Arabidopsis thaliana: one gene and its partners. The protein of the gene in region 2 interacts with the protein of the main gene of each other region in a pairwise test. Each region holds a gene or a part of one and is shown on either strand. Other genes may lie near its edges.

The links.
Region 1: the proteins of LST8-1 (region 2) and THY-1 interact in binary tests that used the Arabidopsis thaliana proteins (3 or more experiments, as listed by UniProt).
Region 3: the proteins of LST8-1 (region 2) and IAA1 interact in binary tests that used the Arabidopsis thaliana proteins (3 or more experiments, as listed by UniProt).

The regions. Positions count from the first base shown.
Region 1 is NC_003071.7:7,078,790-7,087,640, reverse strand, and holds THY-1 (thymidylate synthase 1), read left to right. Parts: upstream 1-2,775; 5' UTR 2,776-3,114; intron 3,115-3,145; exon of another isoform or gene 3,146-3,229; 5' UTR 3,230-3,307; coding exon 3,308-3,729; intron 3,730-3,823; coding exon 3,824-4,205; intron 4,206-4,282; coding exon 4,283-4,327; intron 4,328-4,466; coding exon 4,467-4,532; intron 4,533-4,618; coding exon 4,619-4,680; intron 4,681-4,767; coding exon 4,768-4,842; intron 4,843-4,930; coding exon 4,931-5,096; coding exon of another isoform or gene 5,097-5,141; exon of another isoform or gene 5,142-5,170; coding exon 5,171-5,401; intron 5,402-5,492; coding exon 5,493-5,603; 3' UTR 5,604-5,878; downstream 5,879-8,851. Other genes in the region: AT2G16380 (Sec14p-like phosphatidylinositol transfer family protein), read right to left, coding at 79-230, 309-386, 478-744, 851-950, 1,306-1,558, 1,651-1,669; AT2G16365 (F-box family protein), read right to left, coding at 8,460-8,851. UniProt on the Arabidopsis thaliana protein: Bifunctional enzyme. Involved in de novo dTMP biosynthesis. Key enzyme in folate metabolism.
Region 2 is NC_003074.8:6,210,521-6,218,678, forward strand, and holds LST8-1 (Transducin/WD40 repeat-like superfamily protein), read right to left. Parts: upstream 4,285-8,158; 5' UTR 4,048-4,284; coding exon 3,940-4,047; intron 3,856-3,939; coding exon 3,754-3,855; intron 3,667-3,753; coding exon 3,554-3,666; intron 3,400-3,553; coding exon 3,330-3,399; intron 3,156-3,329; coding exon 3,078-3,155; intron 3,008-3,077; coding exon 2,891-3,007; intron 2,792-2,890; coding exon 2,709-2,791; coding exon of another isoform or gene 2,705-2,708; exon of another isoform or gene 2,629-2,704; coding exon 2,549-2,628; intron 2,470-2,548; coding exon 2,410-2,469; intron 2,330-2,409; coding exon 2,223-2,329; 3' UTR 2,065-2,222; downstream 1-2,064. Other genes in the region: AT3G18120 (F-box associated ubiquitination effector family protein), read right to left, coding at 1-52; RACK1C_AT (receptor for activated C kinase 1C), read right to left, coding at 589-690, 973-1,851. UniProt on the Arabidopsis thaliana protein: Component of TORC1 complex, which is an essential cell growth regulator that controls plant development. Acts by activating transcription, protein synthesis and ribosome biogenesis, and inhibiting mRNA degradation and autophagy.
Region 3 is NC_003075.7:8,356,875-8,363,876, reverse strand, and holds IAA1 (indole-3-acetic acid inducible), read right to left. Parts: upstream 2,882-7,002; 5' UTR 2,696-2,881; coding exon 2,538-2,695; intron 2,446-2,537; coding exon 2,097-2,445; 3' UTR 1,844-2,096; downstream 1-1,843. Other genes in the region: AARE (acylaminoacyl-peptidase-like protein), read right to left, coding at 1-38, 135-332, 413-637, 719-1,022, 1,141-1,322, 1,619-1,752. UniProt on the Arabidopsis thaliana protein: Aux/IAA proteins are short-lived transcriptional factors that function as repressors of early auxin response genes at low auxin concentrations.

The DNA of each region.
Region 1 (8,851 bases), on a different chromosome or scaffold from region 2:
AGATTACGATGATTTTTGTATAAAATTAGTTATAATACAAAGCAAGATATATCATTGAGTTAAGGACTAGAATCTTACCTAGCGTCTATGGCTTCGAGCAATTTGGGTTGGTATTTGTTCCCAAGAACATGAATCTTTGATGTCGTTTTTGGATCGAGGAACTTTTTAATTGGAGCCCACAAGAGCCGGAATCCAGGACCAGCATTGATGATGAACATTCTGTTCAAAGTCTATGAAGAATAATTTATTTACAACGTTGTTACTTGTTACTATACCTACGAGTAATAAGCTTTTTGAGGTTAAACTACCTCAGGGTAATTGTCATTATCGATCTTGAGAAGGCGCTGAAGCAGCTCTCTCGCGGATTTGTTGAAGTTCTTAAGCCCCTAGTAATTGAAAAATGACACATCGTTTTAAACATTTTTTCATATTTATACATTTTCGAAAGAAGAATTGAGGTAGAAAAATGTGACAAACCACTCCTTGGACATCAAAAATGGTTGTGCTTTGGTCAATGTGCTTCTTGGCTGCGGCAGAGCAAGAAGGGAACTTGATCTTAAACATCTTCTCGAACTCTTTCACATGGTATTTCTCATACCGGTCCATTGTAGTCGCTTGTAACAGCTTGTTTGCATCGATTTGACCTAATCTCTCAATGTAAACCGGCCTGCCTTCTTTGTCCACTCCATGGTAACCTTGCGGATAATGTTTGAGTACTTGATCGATCTCTTCAAACTCGAAATCCTTCATTATTAAAAAAATTATAAACCAAACAAATCACTCGTCAAAGATTGTGTATATATAAATGATCAGTCTAAGATGTTCCAAGATTCTTGGACAAAAAGTTAACCTCAATGATTGTATCGACTCCGAAATCCATCCTCCATTGAAGCATGTCACTCCACATTTGCTTTGCTTTCTCTTTGTCAAATTTTCTCGCCCTTAAGAATCTATGTAGAGATTAAACATAATAAATCATAATATTACAATCGCAATAATCATCTACAACAAGTAACATTTAGCTGTAAACTCATCATGAATTATGGATTTATATGAAAGTGTAAAACATTTATTGATTCGCTTGTAAGAGATGAACAATTTTTTTTTTTAAGATATGAAGATTTAATGAAATGTTATAATGTTAAGACAACCAAATTTTTGGTCATCTATTAAACCAGCTCCTCATCAAATAAAATATTCGTTTGGATTGGTATAATTTTTCCATTAGTTGACTTCATGATATTTTATTTCATACCACAACACATCATTTGACCTAGTAGGGATCTTAAAGAAAAATATAAAAACCTGAGCATCATGTGAAGATCATCGTGTTTGGGGGGCAAAAGGTCGTCAAGGACGAGGACTTGACGGAACGCTTCCACGGACAGATAATCGTCCCCGTTGATGTCGTCTGTATTGGCTACGGACACAATTTTGCTGCTGGTCCTCCGAGTCTTCTTCTTGAAAGAGTTCTTGAATCTATTTGATGCGCTTATCGCTTTCTGTTTAAGCGAGCTCATCTTCACTAGCTTCCTTCCATCCTCTGAATTCTCCATATCTAAACCACACATGATTGGTTTACATTAACATTTTAGGCAAGAGGAAAAATTGTATCAATGGCTAGTTAAGGTAAATGCATTGACTTATAACCTTGTTTGGTGTCAGCCATGGTTTAGACTTTTGATGAAACACCTAAAAGATGATTAAGATTGTTTAAGAAATAAGATTGAGGAAAAGAGAAGCAAAACCAGTGTTTTTTTTTCCTTACCTTATTGGAGATGAGTTCTTGAGAGGAAGGAAGGGTGAAAGATGGTAATGGTGAGGATCATCTGAAACTAATTAAGACATGTAGAAAAGTACTTGAATGTCATTTTAACAAGCTATTGATAAGGTCCAAAGGTGGTTTTGTTCTTTTTTTTGTTTTTTACAATTGGTTTGTTCTTAATATATGGAAATGGACATGTGTGTGATATAATATTGAAATATATCAAAATCGATTCGTATCTGTACCAATAAATGCTATAATTAATAGAAAAGAGTATGACGCCAATTTGGACTAAGTGCAGCCCACCACTTTACAGATGAAAACATAGTTTACATGACCAAATTATCATCTTAATCACTTTACAGATGAAAACATATTTTACATGACCAAATTATCATCATAAGAAAACATATTACACAATGGTTTTACATGACGAAATTATCATCAGTTCGGTTTGGATCGATTTCTTTTGATTCTGGATAATTAGTTTAAAAGATTGAGGATCAATGGTTTTACATGACCAAATTATCATCAGTTCGGTTTGGATCGGTTTCTTTTGATTCTGGATAATTAGTTCAAAAGATTGAAGATCTATTTAGGTATTTTAGAATTTTGGTTTATATTATGTTCGGTGCCTTTTCGGTTCGTGTCAATTTAGATTTGAACTAGACTTCCCAATTTAACTAAATTTTAATATAATAACCAAATATTTCGATTTTAAAATTAATAACCGAATTAACCAAAAACTACACCGATAATTTAATCGGTTATTTTTTGTAAAAATTTCAGTTTCTGAAATACTTGAGAAACCAAACTTACCTATCCCGAAAAAGCGGAATACCCCATAATCACATGCCTAGTCTGTAATTTCTCTCCGAAAACTTGTCATTTACTTAAATCATTCAAAAATCTACTATTATTTTGAAAAGAGGGAATAGTAACATATAAATATGAGAAAGTCCATATTAATTAGTAAGTTCAACATACATAATTAAAGAAATCTATGTTCAAAACAAAAAAGATTGAAATAACTATTGGTCTATCTAAAACCATGGTTCGCACTTCGCAGTAGTGGATAGTGTCCGGATAGTGGTCTTACCTTTAAAACCCGACCCTTACTTTCGATCTTCTATTTTAGTTTGATAGAGACACGTCCGTCTACTTTAAGCGTTTTACGAATCGGCGTTTCCCTCTTTTCTCCCCCGCTTATCTTCTCTTCCTGTCCTTTTCAACTCCGTGACTAAAAAAAAAAAAAAAGTAACCTTTACCTACTTTTCTTCTGGGTTTTCGATAATCTCTTTTGGGTATTTGCAAACCCCTCAAAGATTCTTCCTTTCTCCTTTAAATCGGTCAGTACTGATCTCTTCTCCATACCCTTTTGCTATTTGTTTCAAATTTCGATTCTTTGATTGTTTTGGATAGTTTAATTCATATGAATCTGACTCTTGTGTTTGATTTTCACAGTCTCTGCTTTGGCTTTGTACTAGCCATCGCAATTCATCATCATCTATTGCAAGTATCTCCAAGGTTTTGATTTCCACAATGGCAACAACTACTCTCAATGACAGTGTCACCACTACACTTGCTTCAGAGCCTCAAAGGACTTACCAAGTTGTTGTTGCTGCAACTAAAGAAATGGGTATTGGTAAAGATGGGAAATTGCCATGGAATTTGCCAACAGATCTCAAGTTCTTTAAAGACATTACTTTGACCACTTCAGATTCCTCTAAGAAAAATGCTGTTGTGATGGGTAGAAAGACTTGGGAGTCTATTCCCATTAAGTATAGGCCGCTTTCGGGTCGGCTTAACGTTGTTCTAACTCGTTCTGGTGGGTTTGATATAGCCAACACTGAGAATGTTGTCACTTGTAGTAGTGTAGATTCTGCTCTTGATTTGTTAGCTGCGCCGCCGTATTGTTTATCTATTGAGAGGGTTTTTGTTATAGGAGGTGGTGACATATTGAGGTAATGGTTGTTGATTTTCATTTATTATCCCTTTTGGTGATTCGGAATCTTGTTGTTGGTTGGAACTAAGTGTTGGTTGGTTGTATTTGTGTAGGGAAGCATTGAATAGGCCTAGTTGTGATGCTATCCATTTAACTGAGATTGATACAAGTGTTGACTGTGATACGTTTATACCTGCGATTGATACTTCTGTTTATCAGCCTTGGTCTTCATCGTTTCCAGTAACTGAAAATGGACTTCGGTTTTGCTTCACGACTTTTGTCCGTGTAAAGAGTTCTGCTGATGAATCTTCTGATGAAAGCAATGGGTCACAGTCTCTTCAATTTGATGGGAAGAAGTTTTTGTTTCTTCCTAAGATGGTTTTTGATCAGCATGAGGAGTTTCTGTATTTGAATATGGTTGAAGATATTATCTCTAATGGCAATGTGAAGAATGATAGGACCGGGACTGGTACATTATCAAAATTTGGTTGCCAGGTGATATAAATCCGTTTCTTTATGTATTCTGTTTATCTCTAGTTGGTTAAATGATCTCACATTTCCTTGGAACACAGATGAAATTCAATTTACGCAGAAGTTTTCCACTTCTGACAACAAAGGTATGCTCACTTTTTCCTTAACTTTCCACGTTTACTCGCAAAAGGAGAATGCTTTGTCTTCTGTTGTATTTAGTGGCAGTTGCATATCTACACTAGCTCATATTCAAACTCACGCAATCTGTTTGCTTTTTTTTGGTAGCGAGTTTTCTGGAGAGGTGTTGTTGAGGAACTTCTATGGTTCATAAGCGGTTCAACCAATGCAAAAGTAAATTAAGCCAGAGTGTCTCTGCTATGCTCTAAAACTATGCAAATGAATTGGTTATATCTATGATAGACTTTATACATGGGCAGGTCCTTCAGGAAAAAGGTATCCATATATGGGATGGGAATGCGTCAAGAGAGTATCTCGATGGGTAATATTTGTAACCTGCATTATCTTTTTGGTTAAAGAAATATTGATCTTGACGACCTATTTGCTGATTTATCCACCGTATTTTCAGTATCGGCCTGACAGAGAGAGAGGAAGGCGACCTTGGACCTGTATACGGATTTCAATGGCGACACTTTGGTGCTAAGTCAGTAACTTTTCAATGCATATGTTGGTTTTTTCTTCTCTGTTCCGATGGATTTGTTTTGGTGAAACATCTTTCTCTTGTTTTACAGGTACACAGATATGCATGCTGATTATACTGGTCAAGGATTTGATCAACTTGTAGATGTAATTGACAAAATCAAGAACAATCCTGATGATCGGCGTATTATAATGTCAGCTTGGAATCCTTCTGATCTTAAGCTGATGGCACTTCCTCCATGCCATATGTTTGCACAAGTAATGCCACTTTATCTTCTAATTCTGTTGTTTCTCCTACAATGAGTTTGATTACTTTTTTTTTTTTTTTGCAGTTTTATGTGGCAGAAGGGGAACTCTCATGTCAAATGTATCAGCGTTCAGCAGATATGGGCCTTGGTGTGCCGTTTAACATTGCTTCTTACTCTCTTCTTACTTGCATGCTGGCTCATGTGTGTGATCTTGTTCCTGGTGATTTTATCCATGTTCTTGGGGATGCTCATGTATACAAAACTCACGTGAGGCCTCTGCAAGAGCAACTTCTGAATCTTCCAAAACCCTTTCCTGTAAGTATATCGCCGACAATGATCATCGAGGAATGCATATTCACCTATCCTTACCGTGTTTTTGTTTGTCGTCATGGGCTCACTACTGCAGGTAATGAAGATAAACCCGGAGAAGAAACAAATCGATTCTTTTGTGGCTTCTGACTTTGACCTCACAGGCTATGATCCTCACAAGAAGATAGAAATGAAAATGGCGGTTTAGTTCTCATCTCTTACTATAGGATATGACCAAAAGGAGACTACCGACAAATTGATTGTGTAAAATTTATGATTGAATCAGATGAATGACCATCAATGTATGGACTCATATTACCCTTTTGTGGGTGATAACTTGTCATAAACATGTGTTGGAATCCTCTAGTTCCACATGGTTCTAGAGCGATTTAGGATTTTATACTTCTTTTATATATTGTTTCCTATTTCAACTATCGAATGAGAACTTTGATGATTTTGGCCAATTTATGTTCTTTTTGGTTTTAAGTTTGTCTACAAGATACATAAATAATCTTTCTAATATACTATAACTGTTGTGGTGTTATAATTGGTATACAACTATAACTGTAATTTCATATGCTTGTGTTTAAAGTAATTGATTGATGACACAAACAAAAGGTGTGGATAATGCAGAGTAACTACACTATACACTTGTGGCCTTATGTCGGCAATTGACGAATACTACACAATATTAGACCTGCGAGCTCGGTTAACCAACTGGTTAACCGGACCAAGCCAGTTACTTCTCGGTTTTTTCGTAGAAACTAGGGCTGAACATATGGGTAACCCGTTCGGGGTTGGGTTAAATGGGTAATAGATTTACTATCCAATAAGGGAAAATGAAATTTTCGGTTCCAATCCGGTTCGGGTACATTCGGATTCGGGTTGATTTGGGTAATCAATTTGAGAACCGGTAAATACCCGAAAAAATTGGTTAACAATTATCCATTACAGCGAAAAATACCCGAGTTTCAAATGATTTGTGACAAATCACAAGAAAAAACAGAGTGAAAAAATGAACATTAACATCCAAATTCCAAACCTAAATAGCAAACTGCAAACAACAATACAAATATGACAAATAGAAGTTCTCAAACAAGAGTAATTGAAGAGTAAACCGCAAGCAACAATCCGAAAATGAAAAACATAAAACTCGAAGTTTAAAACATACCAAACCGGATATCCATAAACCCATAAACCCGAATCGATTTGGTATGTTTTTGGTTTTAGAAAAAAGGTCAACCGCTCGGTTAGGGGAACTGAACTAACTGAACATGATTCAAAATTCTGCCAAATTGAACAGATTGCTAAACCAATTTCGAACCGAAAACTGAAAACTCTCTTTGTTCCGGACAAAAACCGAAGGCCTTTTATATGTGTCTGAAAGAAAAGTTTCTTTTGATAATAAATGAGGGTTATTAGAATATGTCTCACATCGAGACTTTGATAAATTGTGGAGCAATATATAAGTAGTAAACCTCCACTCATTGAGCTAGCTTTTGGGTGTGAGTTAGGCCCATACTAATATGGTATCAGAGCCCAAGGTTTCAATTTGTCTCGATTGTGGACCACCCGTGCATGTCCAATCCCACAAATTTTACGCTTTAGATGTCCAATTCTGAGCGTGAGAGGGGTGTATTAGAATATGTCTCACATCGAGACTTTGATAAATTGTGGAGCAATATATAAGTATGTGATAAACCTCCACTCATTGAGATAGCTTTTGGGTGTGAGTTAGGTTCATACTAATAAGGATGTTGCCATACTTTAATTGGTATGAAACTAAAAATGTAATTCTCTATGCTTGTGTTAGTAGCTGATGACACAAAAGTTTATACGGATGAAGTATTCTCCAACTTTGTGATGTCACAAAAACAAGAGCTACTCGCTAAAATCAGGTAATGATTCTATGAAGTGAATAAATTTCATTATAATTTTACTACAGACACAACGTGCAGATTTTCAAGTACCTAACTAAAGTAACCAACTTTTTTGTGATGTAAGAATTAAGAGCAATAAGCGATACTCTACGGAAGCTACACCATACACTTGTAGCCTCTGTGATTTTCTCTTATCTTCTATTTTGTTTCTTTCTATATGTGTCCACATTTTTCTTTCACAAGTTAACCTTATAAATTCCCTCCGAGAGTTGATTGGTATCAACAAGATCAAGCAAGAAATAAACTAAGATATGGCCAAGGAAATGGTGACGCTTGAACAAATTGTAAAATGTCTAACAAATTTTTTTTTGTTCTTTTCTTCCGTGGGTTTAAGGTTCTTATATGTGCCAACGCGAGAACAAGGGTGTACCATGTGATAATTGCAAAGCGTACTGTAGGAAGGCATACGTCGGGCCTAACGATTATGGTCGTTGCGTGGGACTATATGGATTCCGTACGTGCACCTGTTATTATGAATGTAGCAATTGGCCATCTTCATTTTTATCATAAAAAAAGTTATCTATGTTTCATCACTTCATGTTTGTATGTGTTTTTGTGTACGTGTGTATGCATCAGAATACAAAAAAAGTTGTATGCATCAGAATAAAAGGAGCTTTTTTCGTATGACCTGATCAATGCTCTTACAAAAAATTTGTCATTGCAATGAATGATTCCCAAATAACATGAAAACTAGACGATTACCGCACCTTGTTTGGTAGAATATAATCAGAAAACTATACAAATAATATATATTAAATATAATAATAGCGTTTCGAAACATATATTAATAGATGTTTTGTCATATTGGAATCCAGAAGAAAAAAAAGACTAATATTTATAATCATAACAGAAATCAAAGCTTTTCGTTGGGTCTCGAATGGTCACAAGTCCACAAGACAATAAAGATTCAAGATTTGCGCCGAACACGCCCATGTAGCCTTTGCATTCATTAAACGCAGTACTAGTTCTTCTGGTTTTTAAGTCAAACAAAAGGACTGAGTCATTGTCAATGATGAAACAATCATTTGATTCAATGAACACAATGCAATTCTCCTTTGCACCTGGGAGCTTATGTACTGAGCAGCAGAGATTCGTCTGAGCTCCAAGAAAGATCACTCGGTCGTTCAAGTCATTAACTTGAACCCACTTTCTCTTTCCTCTTTCTTCATCAAGTCTAAACACTCTGAACCATGTATATATATATATTCATCATAACGCCGCCCAACAGGTGTGAACCGTTGCACTAGCAACAACTCCTCGCCTGACTGCACCAGACTTTCTTTAGAAGACTGTTGCGATCCTCCGACTGAGGGGATCTCCGTAACTTCGAAAGAAAGTTCGACAACAAAGACCCGTCCCCTTCCACTTGAATCAACAGCATAAAACTTTCCTTTGAATGCAACCAAATCTTGATATGCATACTTTTCAGGATGCTCCACAACTTGAGTCCAACTCATGTTACGGCTTCTATACATCACCAAATTGCACATTCTTCCAGCAAAAAGCACCGCAAAAT
Region 2 (8,158 bases):
AAAACTGTATCTCCCAGTTCGCAGAGTTAATGTTAGGGATAGTAATATTCATCCGTGGTTTAGAGGAGTTGAGGACTTGAGGTAGTAGAGTTCATACTGTACGTATCCGTAACAAGGTTCACTAAATCCCTTGGAAGATTGGCCATCATCATCTCAAGGATCATAAATAAGTTAGGTTAATGCTTCAGAAGATACTCTCCTCTGCTTCCGGTGGTTACAAATTTGAAGACAAAGAAACCCACCCTAACTGAATTGGGCCAATCATGGGCTTTAGAAATCTAATAGGCTTGTAATGTGGCCGGTGAAAGAGATAAGAGTGATATATTATAGGGATGAATTGTGAAGATTGAACCTCAATAAGACCAATCGGAAGATCACGAAGGTAAGTGTAATCAAAATCGTGACCTTTTGATATATAGTGATATGATAATCAATGGATTGTTTTTTTCTCTTCTGGAAATTAAACAAAAATTGCCAAAATAGAGGTTTGCGAGAGACTAATACAATACTGACGCAGTCTGGAAAAATTAAAAGCAGCTAAACTTTTTTCCGGAGATTTCGTGACTTCTTCTTCATCTTGTTGTGTCTCTAGTAACGACCAATACCCCAGACCCTGACAACTCCATCAGTGTAACCACTGAACAATGTGCTTCCATCTGCACTCCAGTTCAAGCTTGTGCAGTAGATAACCTGCATTTTCATTACACATTCCCATTAGATACCATTATCAATCTCTTCCTATATGTTAACATCAAAGTCAAAACCTTTGGAGCAGAGCAACATTTAAAGAATAAAATTCCTAGTTTCAAAGCTAATGGGTAAGGGAAAAGATTTCCTACATGCAATTTCTAACCAAAATTTCACTTTTTTTTTGTCATAACCAAAGATAATTTCATCACTACTTTTGGTGCATTCACTAACCTATCAATAGAGAACCAATTACTATAGTGAAATCATAAGATAATGACGTACCTTCTTCTGGTTACCAGTTCCAACACCACCTTCATTCTTCTCTGCCTCAGACTTGAGATCAACCTTCAAGTCCTCAACAACAGACTTGCTCTCAAGATCCCAAATCCTAATGCTATTCTCAGTAGCAGCACACAACCAGTATCTGTTAGGACTGAAGCAAAGCGAGTGAATAATCGAACCCGCCTCAAGCGAGTAAAGCTTCTTTCCTTCAGCCAAATCCCACAACAAGATAACACCATCTTTCCCACCACTGGCGCATAGCGAACCATCAGGCGAGACAGCAACAGTGTTGAGGTAACCAGAGTGACCAACAAGAGAGTTCCTCAGCTTACAGTTCTGGAGATTCCAAACTTTCACAGTTTTATCCCAAGAAGCAGATACAATAGTTGGTACAAGAGTATTAGGACTAAACCTAACACAACTAACCCATTCCTTGTGACCATCACCTTCAGAGATGGTATACTTACACTCACCAAGTGTGTTCCAAAGCTTAATCGTACGATCACGAGAAGCAGACACGATCTGCCGGTTATCAGTAGAGAATGCAACAGAGAGCACATCTTTCGTATGACCAACGAATCGACGAGTTGTTTCTCCCGTGGCAAGATCCCAGAGACGGAGCTCACCGTCCCAGCTTCCGGAGAGTGCAAACTGACCGTCCGATGAGAGAACAACATCTTCCACGAAGTGAGAGTGACCTGTGAGCCTACGCTGAGCAACACCGTAAGACTTATCGTCCTTTGTGAGTTTCCAGAGGATGATGGATTTGTCACGCGACGCTGTGACGATGATGTCGGAATTGTCGATCGGCGTAGCGATGGCCGTGACAATGTCGGTGTGGGCGCGCATAATGCCCTTCAATACGAGTCCCTCGGCCATGGTTTGAGGTTTTCGGGTTTCTTCTTCTTACTCACGAAAATGGCGTAACAGAGCGAGAGATTACGAGGTCGATTGAAATGTTTGGTATTTATACTCTAGGTCTAAAAATGAATCAAATTAGGGTTTAGTGTGGTTTCTGCGAGGAGACTGGCTCATTTGGGCCGGAGTTTCCGAGTCAGGTATAAATGGGCCTCTTCTGAAATAAATTTTGTTGGAGCATTTTTGTTGTGATATAGTTGAGAAATGTTTGATCAGAGAGGGAACATAAGAGCAATTTGAACGAATTCGATTGAAATGTACAAGAGTTTACTAAAACACAAATAACACAATCGTAGTTTGTTCATAATTTAGCTTTGATTCTTATTAAGGTTTTAATCGTGAAGTGCACAGCACACAGTGGCTTTGTGATGACCTTGGTACACTTTCACTTCTTTGCCTGCTGGCATCGACCACAATCTAGCCGTCATGTCCGATGATGCTGTACAACATCATAGAAACCCGTTTAAAGATTGTTCTGATATGTTTTTCAGTGGTTTAAGTTAAGACAGAGATTAGTACCTGTTACAAGAAATTCTCCATCCACTGAGAAGACGCAGTCCCAAACCCATCTTTGATGTCCTGTTATATAAGATTTGATGATAGTGTAAGAGACGATAATGGAGAATGAATGCTGTTGACAGTAACATGGAGAACATACCTGTTAAAACTTTCTCTAGTTTAAAACCATCGACGTTCCATATTTTGACAGTTTTATCAGATGATGCAGTCGCTAGATATCTGCTAACAAATATGTAAGAGCTTCGAAAAGGAGAGGATGAAGAAAACGGTTAAAAGAGAAAGTATAAGAAACATGTTACTTGTTTGCAGGAGAGAGGAGACATTTAAGGATGTGGCCATTATGAGCTTGCAGCTTATGAAGGGGCTCAAACTCTGTCATTGTCTGTAAAAGATTTTGAATTTTTAAATGGCATGGACAATTAGAGTAATGCGACTACAACATGGTTAAACAAAAGAAAGGTTTGCATATCAGGAACACTACCTGTTTTCCACGCAACAAGCGCCATACATAACATGTTCCACGGTTGTTAGCAGCGACTACCATTGTCCCATCCCACATAACAGTTAAAGACCGTACAGCTGTATCAACTTCTGGTACCTATAGTTAACCTCAAGTGATTATCTACGGATTTTCAGAAATGAAATGAAGACGTGTCAAAGGCAATTACCAGTTCACAGCTACACGAATTTGCTCTGAGATCCCATACACGTATATTTCCATTTTGGTCTCCAGATATCAATTCAGTCTGTACAAAAAAAAAAAACAAAGTTCATAATAAAGACTAAGGAAATAGTTCATAATAACAGCTGAGACAACTACCAAAATCACAGCAGTTTCAACAGTAGCAATACAACAACTCTCTTAAACATAAAACGAAGCTGATTCCCACAGCACAACAATAACAGATGACTTCATGTACCTGATTTGGGTGTAAAACAACTGTATTAACCGCTGCAACACTTTCATACTCCTTTTGGCAACCCGGAGCCCTGCATTTTGGTTTACGAGTCAACAAGAATACAATTTAGAACGTTCTTAGTATTTTTCGTAACTTTATATTCAATATCTCCTTATCCTTTCCCAGAATCCACACTTGAATAAATCTATAAACTTTTAGCTAAAGATGAAGATGACATGATATACCTTAAGTCCCAGATCTTAACTGTGCCATCTTCTGATCCTGAATACATCCATTTTGCATCACATTGAAATCCTACTGCCATAACATTGTTGGTGTGTGAATCGTAAGTCATCACCTAATACACACGACGACTCCATCAAGATCACTCAAGCAGGTAGAAGGAAGCAAACACCACATTGAGAAAAAAAGAGAGGAGTTTTACAGGTTGAGGACTATTGGAATTGACATCAAAGAGTCGAATATGAGGATTGCAAGCTGCAGCTAGATAATGCTTATCTGGGGTTATCTCAAGCCTATTTACATGCTGCAATTACAAACATTAATTTGTCTCAGTTTTATTAATTACTCAGAATTCACAAAATCAAGGGAGAGAGAGAGAGAAACAAACCGAATCAGGATACTGAATGGTACGGTAACAGCGACCAGTTTCGGCTTCCCAGAATCGGATGGTGTGATCATAGCTAGCCGTAGCAAGAATCACAGAAGGCTGACTCATTTTCGATCGATTTTATCCCGATTGAAATATTAAACCAACCATTTCGTGATTTTTGCTGATTCCCAGAAAACAAACAAACCCCCTTTTCGAAATAATCAACAGAAGAACAAGCTAGGGTTTGGTGATTGAGGATCAAAAAACAGGGGAAAGAAAAAGGTGCAGAGAACTGTAAATTGAAGAGAAGAAGAAAAATAGGGTTTTTACCAAGCTTTTCTCATAATTAATTAACGCGGGGAGGTTTTAGTATAAATATATATCTATTGGGGTTTATTTAAATATACGAAAATAAGTAAAGGGCTATTTTGTTATTTATGAAAAGTAATAAGAAAATATAAAGAACAACTATTTGTTCACTACTTCACTGACAGACATAACGGCTGAGACTCCTTGGAAGCTTTTAGAGACGGCAACAATGGCGGCTACGAAAGCTCTGGAATTTGTTTTGCCGACGGGCTTCTTCATCCAGCCGTCATTGAACCGTCGCGGAGGAGTTAGGCTCTCCGTCGTCAAGTGTTCCATTTCTTCAGTCACCTCTACAGGCACCGCATCTGGTAACGCTCGCCGATTTCCCCATTTCCGTATTTTCACAGCTTGATTTTTTCCCAGAACTTTAGATTCGAATTGGCTTTCGATTCAAATGTTATGTATATATATGATTTTTTCAGATTACTTGTAGGCTCTTGATTCGTGCCTTAATCATCGTTTTGGTTATTGTTTCTTTTAGTTTGGATGAGCTGAAAATGTGTGTGAATGTTGAAATGTGATTCAAACAAGAGTAAAGAGGGGAGTTAATGTGTGTTAAGACACATTTGTCAGTTTTGGTTTTACAATAAATTTGGGGGTTTTTATTTTTATGTTTGTAGGACATAATGAGTCCATGGGTTTAATGGGTGCAGATACATTTCTTTTCTATATAAGCATGTAGTCTCATTTGTGAGAAATTATCAGAGATATCAGAGACATCTGAAAGTCATTCACAGAATTAAGTATCATTCAGCTAAACAGTTCTTAACCTCTGTTCTATCATCTCTGTTTCTAACAGTGAATTCCTTGTTTTACCGGTTTTGTAGGTTTTTTAGAGAAACCATGGAGCTCATACAATGCTAGGCTAGTGTTAGAAGATGGCTCTGTTTGGTCAGCTAAGTCTTTTGGTGCTTCTGGAACCCGTGTTGCTGAATTGGTATTTAACACCTCTTTGACAGGGTCAGATTCTTTTTTAGATTCTAATTTAGATTTCTAGATATTATAACTGGGTTTAGAACATTACTCATTTTAATCCTACCAGATGATCTTGACACACGGGCAATAACCCGTCGATTAAGAGAAAGCGGCAGTCTTAACGGTGTGCTTAGCACTGATGGATCCAAAACCGACGAGGAACTTTTGCATATGTCCCGCTCTTGGGATATAGTAGGTCTGAATTCTTTCACTGCCCTCCTTAAAATATGATCAGCGTGGAATATGTGATTGAGCTCTGTCTATCTGCTTGGTTGAATATTTTAGGCCTTGATCTAATAAGCGATGTTTCCTGTAAATCTCCCTACGAATGGGTTGAAAAAACAAATCCTGAATGGGAGTTTAAGACAACCTCCTCACGTCACAGGGAATCCTACAGAGTGAGTTGTACTTTCTCTTCTCTAATTTACATTCTCATCGATTTCCTCACTAGCTTCTAACTCTGTTTTCATACTTCCACTTCAAAAGGTTATTGCATATGATTTCGGGATCAAGCAAAACATTCTAAGACGGGATTTCCTCACTAGCTTCTAACTCTGTTTTCATACTTCCACTTCAAAAGGTTATTGCATATGATTTCGGCATCATACGGTTGTGAAATCACAGTTGTCCCATCGACATGGCCAGCTGCAGAGGCGCTTAAAATGAAACCAGACGGGATTCTATTCAGCAACGGTCCAGGAGATCCTTCTGCAGTGCCTTATGCAGTTGAGACGGTTAAAGAGCTTCTAGGAAAAGTTCCTGTCTATGGAATCTGTATGGGTCATCAGTTACTTGGACAAGCTCTTGGAGGTAAAACCTTTAAGATGAAATTTGGTCATCATGGAGGAAACCATCCAGTTCGTAACAACAGAACCGGCCATGTCGAGATCAGTGCTCAGGTATGCTCCATTTACTATCTATAGATTATAACCACACAAGATTAAACAGTCTAATCTTTCAGTTCTAATATAGTTTACAAATATGATGGGAAAATAAAAATTATTAATCAAAACTTAGTTATATACTTATATATGTAACTCTGAGAACTTGTTGTTACATGGCTGTCGAGTTCAGCTTCTCACTTCCTAGTACAGTAAACTAAAAAAAAGACGTCTCTGTTTTGTGTCTGCTGAAGATTTTGATTGATATTGTTTGTGCGGATTTTGGCAAAACCATAACTATGCAGTGGACCCAGCTTCTCTTCCCACCGGCGTGGAAGTGACTCACGTCAATCTCAACGACGGAAGTTGCGCCGGTCTCTCTTTTCCGGCAATGCATGTCATGTCTCTTCAGTATCACCCTGAGGCTTCTCCTGGACCTCATGACTCCGACAACGGTATTAAACCATTCTTTCTTTTCCCTTTTGTCTGGTACCTATCAAAACGTAAACGCTACTAAAACGCTATGCATTAATTTTTGCCTAATCTTTTCATATATGCAGCATTTGGAGATTTTGTGGAGCTTATGAAAAGATTTAAACGAAGCACTTGATCTCGGCTAAATCAGTGATCTAGCGAAGGAGTTTTGTTTAGGTGGATTGAAGTTGGAGTTGCGAATTTTTTTGTCGTGTGAGAAATAAAATAGCATAATGACTGCCGAAATAAGACAATTTAGTTGAGAAACTTATGCAAGTTTGATATTTATACTAACATCAAAAGTAGCTTGCTTGCCATTTTTGTTAGGAACTGGATCTGGTATTTTGCTCAAGTATGGTTTTCTTGGCCCATCCACTTCTAATGTGTTTTGTAACTAATGCAAAATGTGCATTAGAAGTGGATTGGTCAAGGGAAGCGTACTTGTGCAAAATGCGGCAGTCCAATTCCTAACAAGTTTGGCAAGCAATCCATTTTTGGTGGCTTGTATGTACCGAGCTATTACAGACTGACGGTTTTGTTTTGTAACTAAAGAGGAGAAAAAAACTCTAGTATATGATTTCAATATCTATGGATCCTCCAATTTAGTTTTCTGGTTTAGATTTTTTTCTTCCTTATCTTGGATTTTCTGGTTTATTAGGTTTAGAACTAAATAAAACTGTTATGTGGTTGGTTTGATAAGATTTTGGTTTCAGTTGGAATATCAAAAAATATATAATGGGTCTTCAAAACATTACCATTCGTTGATAATAAACCCTAAGAAAATCAAGATGGCCGACGACAGCGCAACCCCCGGTGTAAGAGTCCCTAGCCACCGCTACGGTCGTCATTACCATCGGCGGAAAATCAAAGAAGCAGTAGACTCAATAAGCTCTTTACCTGATGTGATCCTCCAACATATCCTCTCCTTTATTCCGACCAAACTCGCCATCACAACTTCCCTCTTGTCAAAACGATGGAGACATGTATGGTGTGATACACCTTCTCTTTCATTTAATGATTACAGACTGGAGGCTCCATTTATAGACGAAACCCTAACTCGCTATACAGCTTCCAAGATGATGCGTTTTCACCTCCATACCAGCTTGATCAACAATGTTCCCCACTTAGAAAGTTGGATCAAGTTCGCCATGTCCCGTAACGTGGATCATCTGTCCCTGGATCTCTGGAATCAAGTTGCCAATAAGTTTAAGTTTCCTGATTTCTTCCACATCAATTCATCTCTCAAGCAACTCACTGTTGTGTTAGACTTTTCTGATACGATGATTGCCATATGCTGAAGAAGTTGTACTTGAGTACTTGTCTTCTCTCTGATGAATCCATGGCTAACATTCTATTTGGTTGTCCAATTCTCGAGAGCTTAACACTAGATCACTGCGGTGGACTAAGGGTTCTTGATCTCAGCAAATCACTGCGCCTGAGAACATTAGAAATAAACTGTAACATTTGGGTTCCCGAGCTAACGGCAATGCAGATTGTGGCTCCACATACCCATTGTCTCAGATTGAGAAACTCTAAAT
Region 3 (7,002 bases), on a different chromosome or scaffold from region 2:
TCAAATTATGAATAGGGAATTCATTTGCGTCATCATCTCTGAAACACAAGTAAACACAAACTTTATAAGATATTTTTTCGGAAATTAGGAATTATTAAGCTGTCTTTTAGTAGTTATAGAAGTTGCCAACTTACTTTGGTTCATCCGATGTGAACTTAATTGCGTATATGGCACATGGTCTGTTGTAGCAGTACTTAATACCAAACTTTCTTTTATCTCCTAACCAACCGGCAAAAACCAAATATTGAGCTGATCCATTACTGTTTGGACTCCAAACAACCTGTCCAACACTTATTGATCTAGGAATTCCTTTGATTGGCTCGACCTCTCCACTGTTAACAGAAAAAGAGAAACAACCATCATAAAAAGTACTGGGTAGTTGTTCTTTTCTTATGGAGAGATTGATGGAAACCTGTCAACATTGATAACAAACAGTGCAGGCTGCCTTTTTCCGGCGTATGCTTCTCCCCATTCCTCTTCCCAATCCCCTTCACCTTTCCAGCTTCCAATACCCTTGTCCAAAGAATTTTCTTTCTTGTAATAACCAAGATGATCAAATGTAGGCTTGGGACGAGATGGCTCCTCGGCGACATACGCAACATGAGTCTCATCTGAATCCCAAGAGATCCCTTCAAACCTATCATACATAAGCCTTACTCATTTTTATACTTCTACAAGAACTTGTCTTTAAAAATCAGCCAAAAACAAAGTGCCATACCATCCATCAACGTATACAGAGCCATGAACTTTCTGTGGAATATGGAACTCCTTCTCTAGCTGAGAAGAATTCCATATCTCAAACTTTGTAGGAGATTCATTTTCAGGATTTCGAATTACAAGGAGCTTCAATCCCGATGGAGATGGGACAAAAGCCGATGCACCAGTCATCTCGATGGGAAATGGCGCCCAGTGAAAGTTTACAGATTGGTTACTTTCGTTCGAAATATGACCCGACAACATAAACTTCTTCTTTTTATTAGCCAAAAGGTTTGCTTGACTCAAGGCAAACATTGCCTGAGAACCTGTAGTAAGAGCATCAAAGTGAAAACATCATTTCATTTGGGAAGATGATTTTCAACAACAAAAGACTCAAAAATCTTAATTTACAAAGTCCCAACTTGAATATGCAAAAGTGATTACCAGAATCAGAATTAAAAATCCAAGCTTTATCAATGCTGGGAATATTAATGAACTCTTGAAGTAACTTTGACTGTGTGGCATACTCTTCCTCTGTAGTTGGGTCCAAACCAACATGCAATTCTTTAGCCGAATCAGTTCCAGAAGAATCCATAGCTACAAATCTTCGAATCCAATTCTTGTAACTGAAACAAGTATCTCATAAATCACTAATGATTGCAAAACAATTCCATTAATCAGATTCATCATCCATAACTCTAAACCAATCAAGTTCTTAGTAGATATGATTGGCTTCAAATTCGTTAAAACAGAACAAACAAAAAACCAATCAAAGTAATAAACTTTCGGATTAAAAACTGTCATATAAACGATACCCATCAAAGCAATACCATCAATGATTCTCAATTCGTGGTAACACCATCAAAGTAATGAATTTTCGGATTGAAAAACAGAGACTGAGAGAAGAAGAAGAAGAGCTTACGGAGACTGAGTGAGTGAAGGAGTGATGAAAGTAGATCGGAAAAGAAGGCGACGAAGATGACGATGAGAAGAGCTCAAGTCAAATCCCAAATTGGTGGAGCAAGTTATTGGGTAGTGACTAAAGATTCTCGCCATCTAATATTAAACAAAACAAAAAAAAGTTGAAAACTTTCGATAGTGATATCCATTACATTGCCCATTTCTTAATCCAAAATTTTATATCTTTCACTATGTCCCAAACTTATGTTAGTATCAAATACTAAACTTTATTGGTTATGTTAGTATCAAATATCTTGAGCATACATATAAACTTCGTATAATCAAAACTCATCTTTTACAGAATTAACCAAAGCTAGTTTACATCTATATAACGTATTTGTAACCCTATTGCTTTTTCTTTCTTTACACCAAACTTTTTTTTATCTAAACAAAGTAGAATTTGTTTTTGCCTCGACCAAAAGGTGTTTTGAGACAATGGATCATAAGGCAGTAGGAGCTTCGGATCCTTTCATGATTCTGAGTTTTTGACAAGATGAAGAGAACATGTCCCATGGAACATCACCGACCAACATCCAATCTCCATCTTTGTCTTCATAAGTAGGTACAAATCCAGATCCTTTGTAGCCTTCTCTCTCGGAATATTCACCTACTGTGAACTTGAACATGTTCTCTAGTGCTTTGAGAAGCTCTGGATAGTTTTTGTACATCTTGAGATCTATCTTACGGAGATATGGAGCTCCGTCCATACTCACTTTCACATAACTCACGTTTTTGTTGTTGTTGTTCTTACGGTTAGATCTCACTGGAGGCCATCCAACGATTTGTGTTCTGAAGTTTACAAATCAAGATTCATTATTAGTACACCGATTGATATCAAGAAGTTTGGATATTAAAACTATAACTTTCAGATCTCAACTTACTTTGCAGGAGGAGGAGCAGATTCTTCTGTTGAGTCGTTGTTCTTGCGCTTGTTGTTGCTTCTGACGCAAGAAAGTTCTAGTTGTTGTTCTTCTTGTGCTCCGGGTAATCCCAAACGAAGCTCTGTGTCCTTAAGGTTAAGCCCATTGGTGACTTCCATATTCTCTCACTATACTTTAACGGAGAAGCTCTCTTCCTTAATTCTTGAACTACTTCTTCTTCTCTTGTTATTGCTCTTCTTGGGATTGTGATTTGATATCCTTGAAAATGCTTGTGTGTGTTGTGTAATGGTGAGGGAGAGAGAGAGATTTATATAAGGAAAGATGCTTTGAAATTAGGGTTAACGAGAGAGAGAGAGAGATATGAATTATGACGTTGTCGGGGAGCATGAGGAGGCAAGTTAGAGGCAAGGGGACAAAGGTGGGACACAAAGATTTTGGACGCGGCTTCTTTCTTATTTTCAACGGTCCTGATTTGTCTCCGCCAGTTGCGTACGCGAGATCCTAGCCGTTTCTTTCTCTTACGGTCAAATGAGTAAAGAGAAAATCATAAGAGTAAGAGAACTTCTCGACCTTCGTCCTTCTACCACACGATCACGCTAGGTTTATGTTTTGCAACTATTCGTTATTCGGATTGATTCAAGAAAATATCTAGATACATTTTGTATAGTTCAGATTGGATCATCGGATATCATAGTAGAAAAAATGAAACTAGTGTTGGACATGTTGATCATATAGATCAAGCTTTTTCGATCACCCCAGTTGTGGGGTAGTTTTCATGAAAATATTTCATTTTTGTGTAAAGGTTTGGTATATGGTAGAGTAGATGTCTAGAATAGATGATCAAATATTAATGGTCAATTTGTATCGAAGAATTAACAATTTCCTTTTATAAATATTTCGACAGTTTTTGCGTGAAAAGTAATGTTTTGTTTGCAAGAAACTATAGAACAAAATAATAGACAAAACACTGTAAAATATTATTTATTTTCTCGTAGACACATATATAAATTGTAAGTATAGGTTTGTACAATTATGATCAATAGTAAATAAATTGGGGAGGGAGATGCATGTGGATGAGGGTGAAGAGTGTTCTTAATGGAATAATGGATGCAGGAAGTATGGTAAGGCCATGTGATATGCTGTCTCAAATAACATTTTTTCTATTTATTTTATTTTAATTATTGTGTAAAATTTCATTTTAACATTTATTATAAATACAAATATCTATATGAAACTATATATTTTGTTGAAAAAGAGTTGAAAAAAATATCTAAAGAGATGATTTAAAAAAAAAAAAAAACCATTTTAAATGGGCTTTTGGGGACACGGCCCATGTGGTATTTCGAGCAAGGTAATACAATTAATCCCTTCTCGAAATTACGCATAACTATGTTCATTTAACTTGCAATTCCCATACCGCATGCACCTTAATTTGATGTTTATATTTGTGTTGGGCGTATATTCATTCCACAATCACTGTCCACTAAGAAATTTTATTGTCTATCTAGCGACAACGAGAACAAAAACTAGATCATATATGAACATATTGACAAATCAAAATGTATATGGGTTATTTTACCAATAAGCATTATCGTTTTTACAACAAGTATAAAGTAATGCTCCCTACGTTTAAAGTTTATAAGATGGTTGAACAATTTTTTGTCATTTTAGTTGTTGTTTTTGTTTTTCCATACAACATTTGTGTTTTAAATTAATAATTAGTACTCATATTATTGAACTATTATTAATCAAAAAGTTATTTCTAGTTTCTTATTCTTTTCATATTCATCCAAAACAATTTTTTTTATTAAAAAAAACATAAAGAGTATAACAAATAAAAAAGTATATGTATAAACTTGATCATGAAATACAGAGATGCTAGTCGCTAGAGGCTTGCGTGTTCAATATAAAACAAGACGTATGCTTATAAGAAGTAACATTTGTTAAATCTGTTTTGGAAATCCCTCTCATTGTGTGGGAGATGATAACATAATTGTAGAGTTTACATGCTATATAATAGTATAACGGATTTTCTGATCCCAATAGATGGATCTCCTGCAGGTAGGTGAATCATGATAATATCATTTATACTTATGTCACCATGTGTCCATGTTAACTGTTATTTTCACGCTAAACCATGTTCAACGCATGTTGATGAATATTCATTTTCTTACATATTTATCAAATATGGTGTGTAGTTTGTTCTCATATGCATATCGATTGTCAACGATACAAGAATCCATACCTAAGCTTTGAGAGTTTCGTGTGGCATGTTAATTACTAAAACCTATCAAACTCTTCACTGCAATTTTAAAAAAAAAAACAGAAAATTTTGCCTGTTTTTTTTTTCTTTTTTGGCAATCACATGTTATGTTAATACTTTAGAGCGTGCAAAATTCATAGGAATGGGGACACAATCCACCAGTAGACACTTTTAGGGTCGTTGAGCAAACAATGAACATGCCAATGCTCACTCTCAACTTTGATGTGAAATGCACTCACTTGGTTCTCATTCCTCTTACGTGTTCTCTCTTATCTTTCTCTTTGTTCTTGTCTTCTGTACTGTTTATAGATAAGAATTGACTAATTGAATTTTTTCCTTTGTTTTCTCCTTTTTTGGGGTCTAAACTAAAAGAATGGTTGCAAAAAGGTTCTTAAAATATATAAATTAAACAAAATAGTTAAATTTAAAGGTTATGCTTTAAGTTTAAGGTAAATTTTAGAAGACTATTTTCATCAAAAATGGTTAGAAAAATTTCGAATAAATTCTGTGGATTTTTACCTTTAAGGAGAACTAATAAAATATTAAGGTTTTTCTTTTAGCGAAAACGGAAACTTTTAAAACATTATTTTGCACTAATCACACTTTTCAGTTTTAATCAAAGTATATGATATACATGTTTAACTATTCACCATCTTTCGGTAAATAATAAAAATTCAAGTAATTTGAAATTATTATTCGAAATGATTATTCATTTAAAGGTATACAACTACATATATGTAGAAAAACAGATGTATAAGCGTGTGCATTTAACTTGCATTAAAAAAAACTTTGCATGTGAGATGTTACAATGTAGGTACAATTTACACTCGTGTGATGAATTCCTGACAAAATTTGGAACGTATTGAAAAGGTATGGTCCAAAATCAAATCGTAGAAAGGACAAAAAGCTGAGCCACAAAGATTTAAGTCACAATTCAAATCATTTATCTACACATACCATAACTTAAGAAATGCACGTGTGCCATCTTTAAACCACTTTTTATATACTCGGTTCAGGTTGAGTTTATACCGCATCACCGCCAACTCTTATGGGCGAAATATTCTTCGCCAGATCTCTCACCTTATCAAAGACAACCCTTATGTGGAACATACATGATCTATAAATTCTACCAAGAAAGTGTTAACTCATTATGTGAACCCTAAGAATAACTCAAAGACTGCATTTTAGCATGTCCAAACAATAGGTTCAAAGAGGTTTCACTCCTGAAGAAAAATTCATGATAAGAATTTAGATAATACCAGTAGCGATTTGGTGAACAAGATGATAACGTTGAGCGTCTGGCCGAGAATTTAGCATCATATATCAACAATCACTCAATATTACGATAGATGACACATAGTTAGGATAATGATTCACACAAAAATGAAAACGTTGAAGGATAAGGTGGATTAACTTATGAAGAATATCAAATGGTTGTTATCTACTGCGAATATTGCATAGGTATGACGAATAAAATACTTCGTTAGGTCAAAAGAATTTTCACCAAGAGGATTCAACCAAAACTACATAAATCATCCTAATAATATTTTTTACACGAGAACTAATGCCGAAAACATGCATGCAGCGTGCCTAGTTTATCCTCAGCATGAGAAGTCTCATGAACATCGTTTTCATCCTAGATTTGCGCATACTTATAATATTTTTGGCTAGGGTAACAACTTAAGTATCCATATATATTTGGGTAGTCAATAGTCATGGTCTAATTCTTTTTTTCTTTTTAAGTCCAAAGAGTAATATTGGCACCCGAAAAAACTATGTTAGAATTCGAACCCTGATGGTCAATTATACTCGAACCCAGGTGACGGAGAATTTTCTCTCCTTTACCATTGTACCAAAGCAACACTATTTATTATTAGGTGTTAGCTTAGAAGCAATAGTTGCTGAAATTTGTTCAAACGATAGATGAGTCTATCTCAAGCTAGATTAGAGGTGGAAACTAAATTATAAGAGTTTCCTTGCCATGGTTATGTCTTTCTCCATCTAGGGATGTGTCTCAAGGGCAAGTTAATTAAGAGACAATTTAATTTTGACGACGTTCACAAAAAAATGATGTGGGTTCATCTAAGGAAATTAAGCCTCATCCTCATTTATCTCGGGCAAAGCTGGTATGGCTTAAAGTTTCTATACCTAATCATTCTACTCATGTGGTTGTAGTCTACTCTCGTTGGAAACCAACGTTTG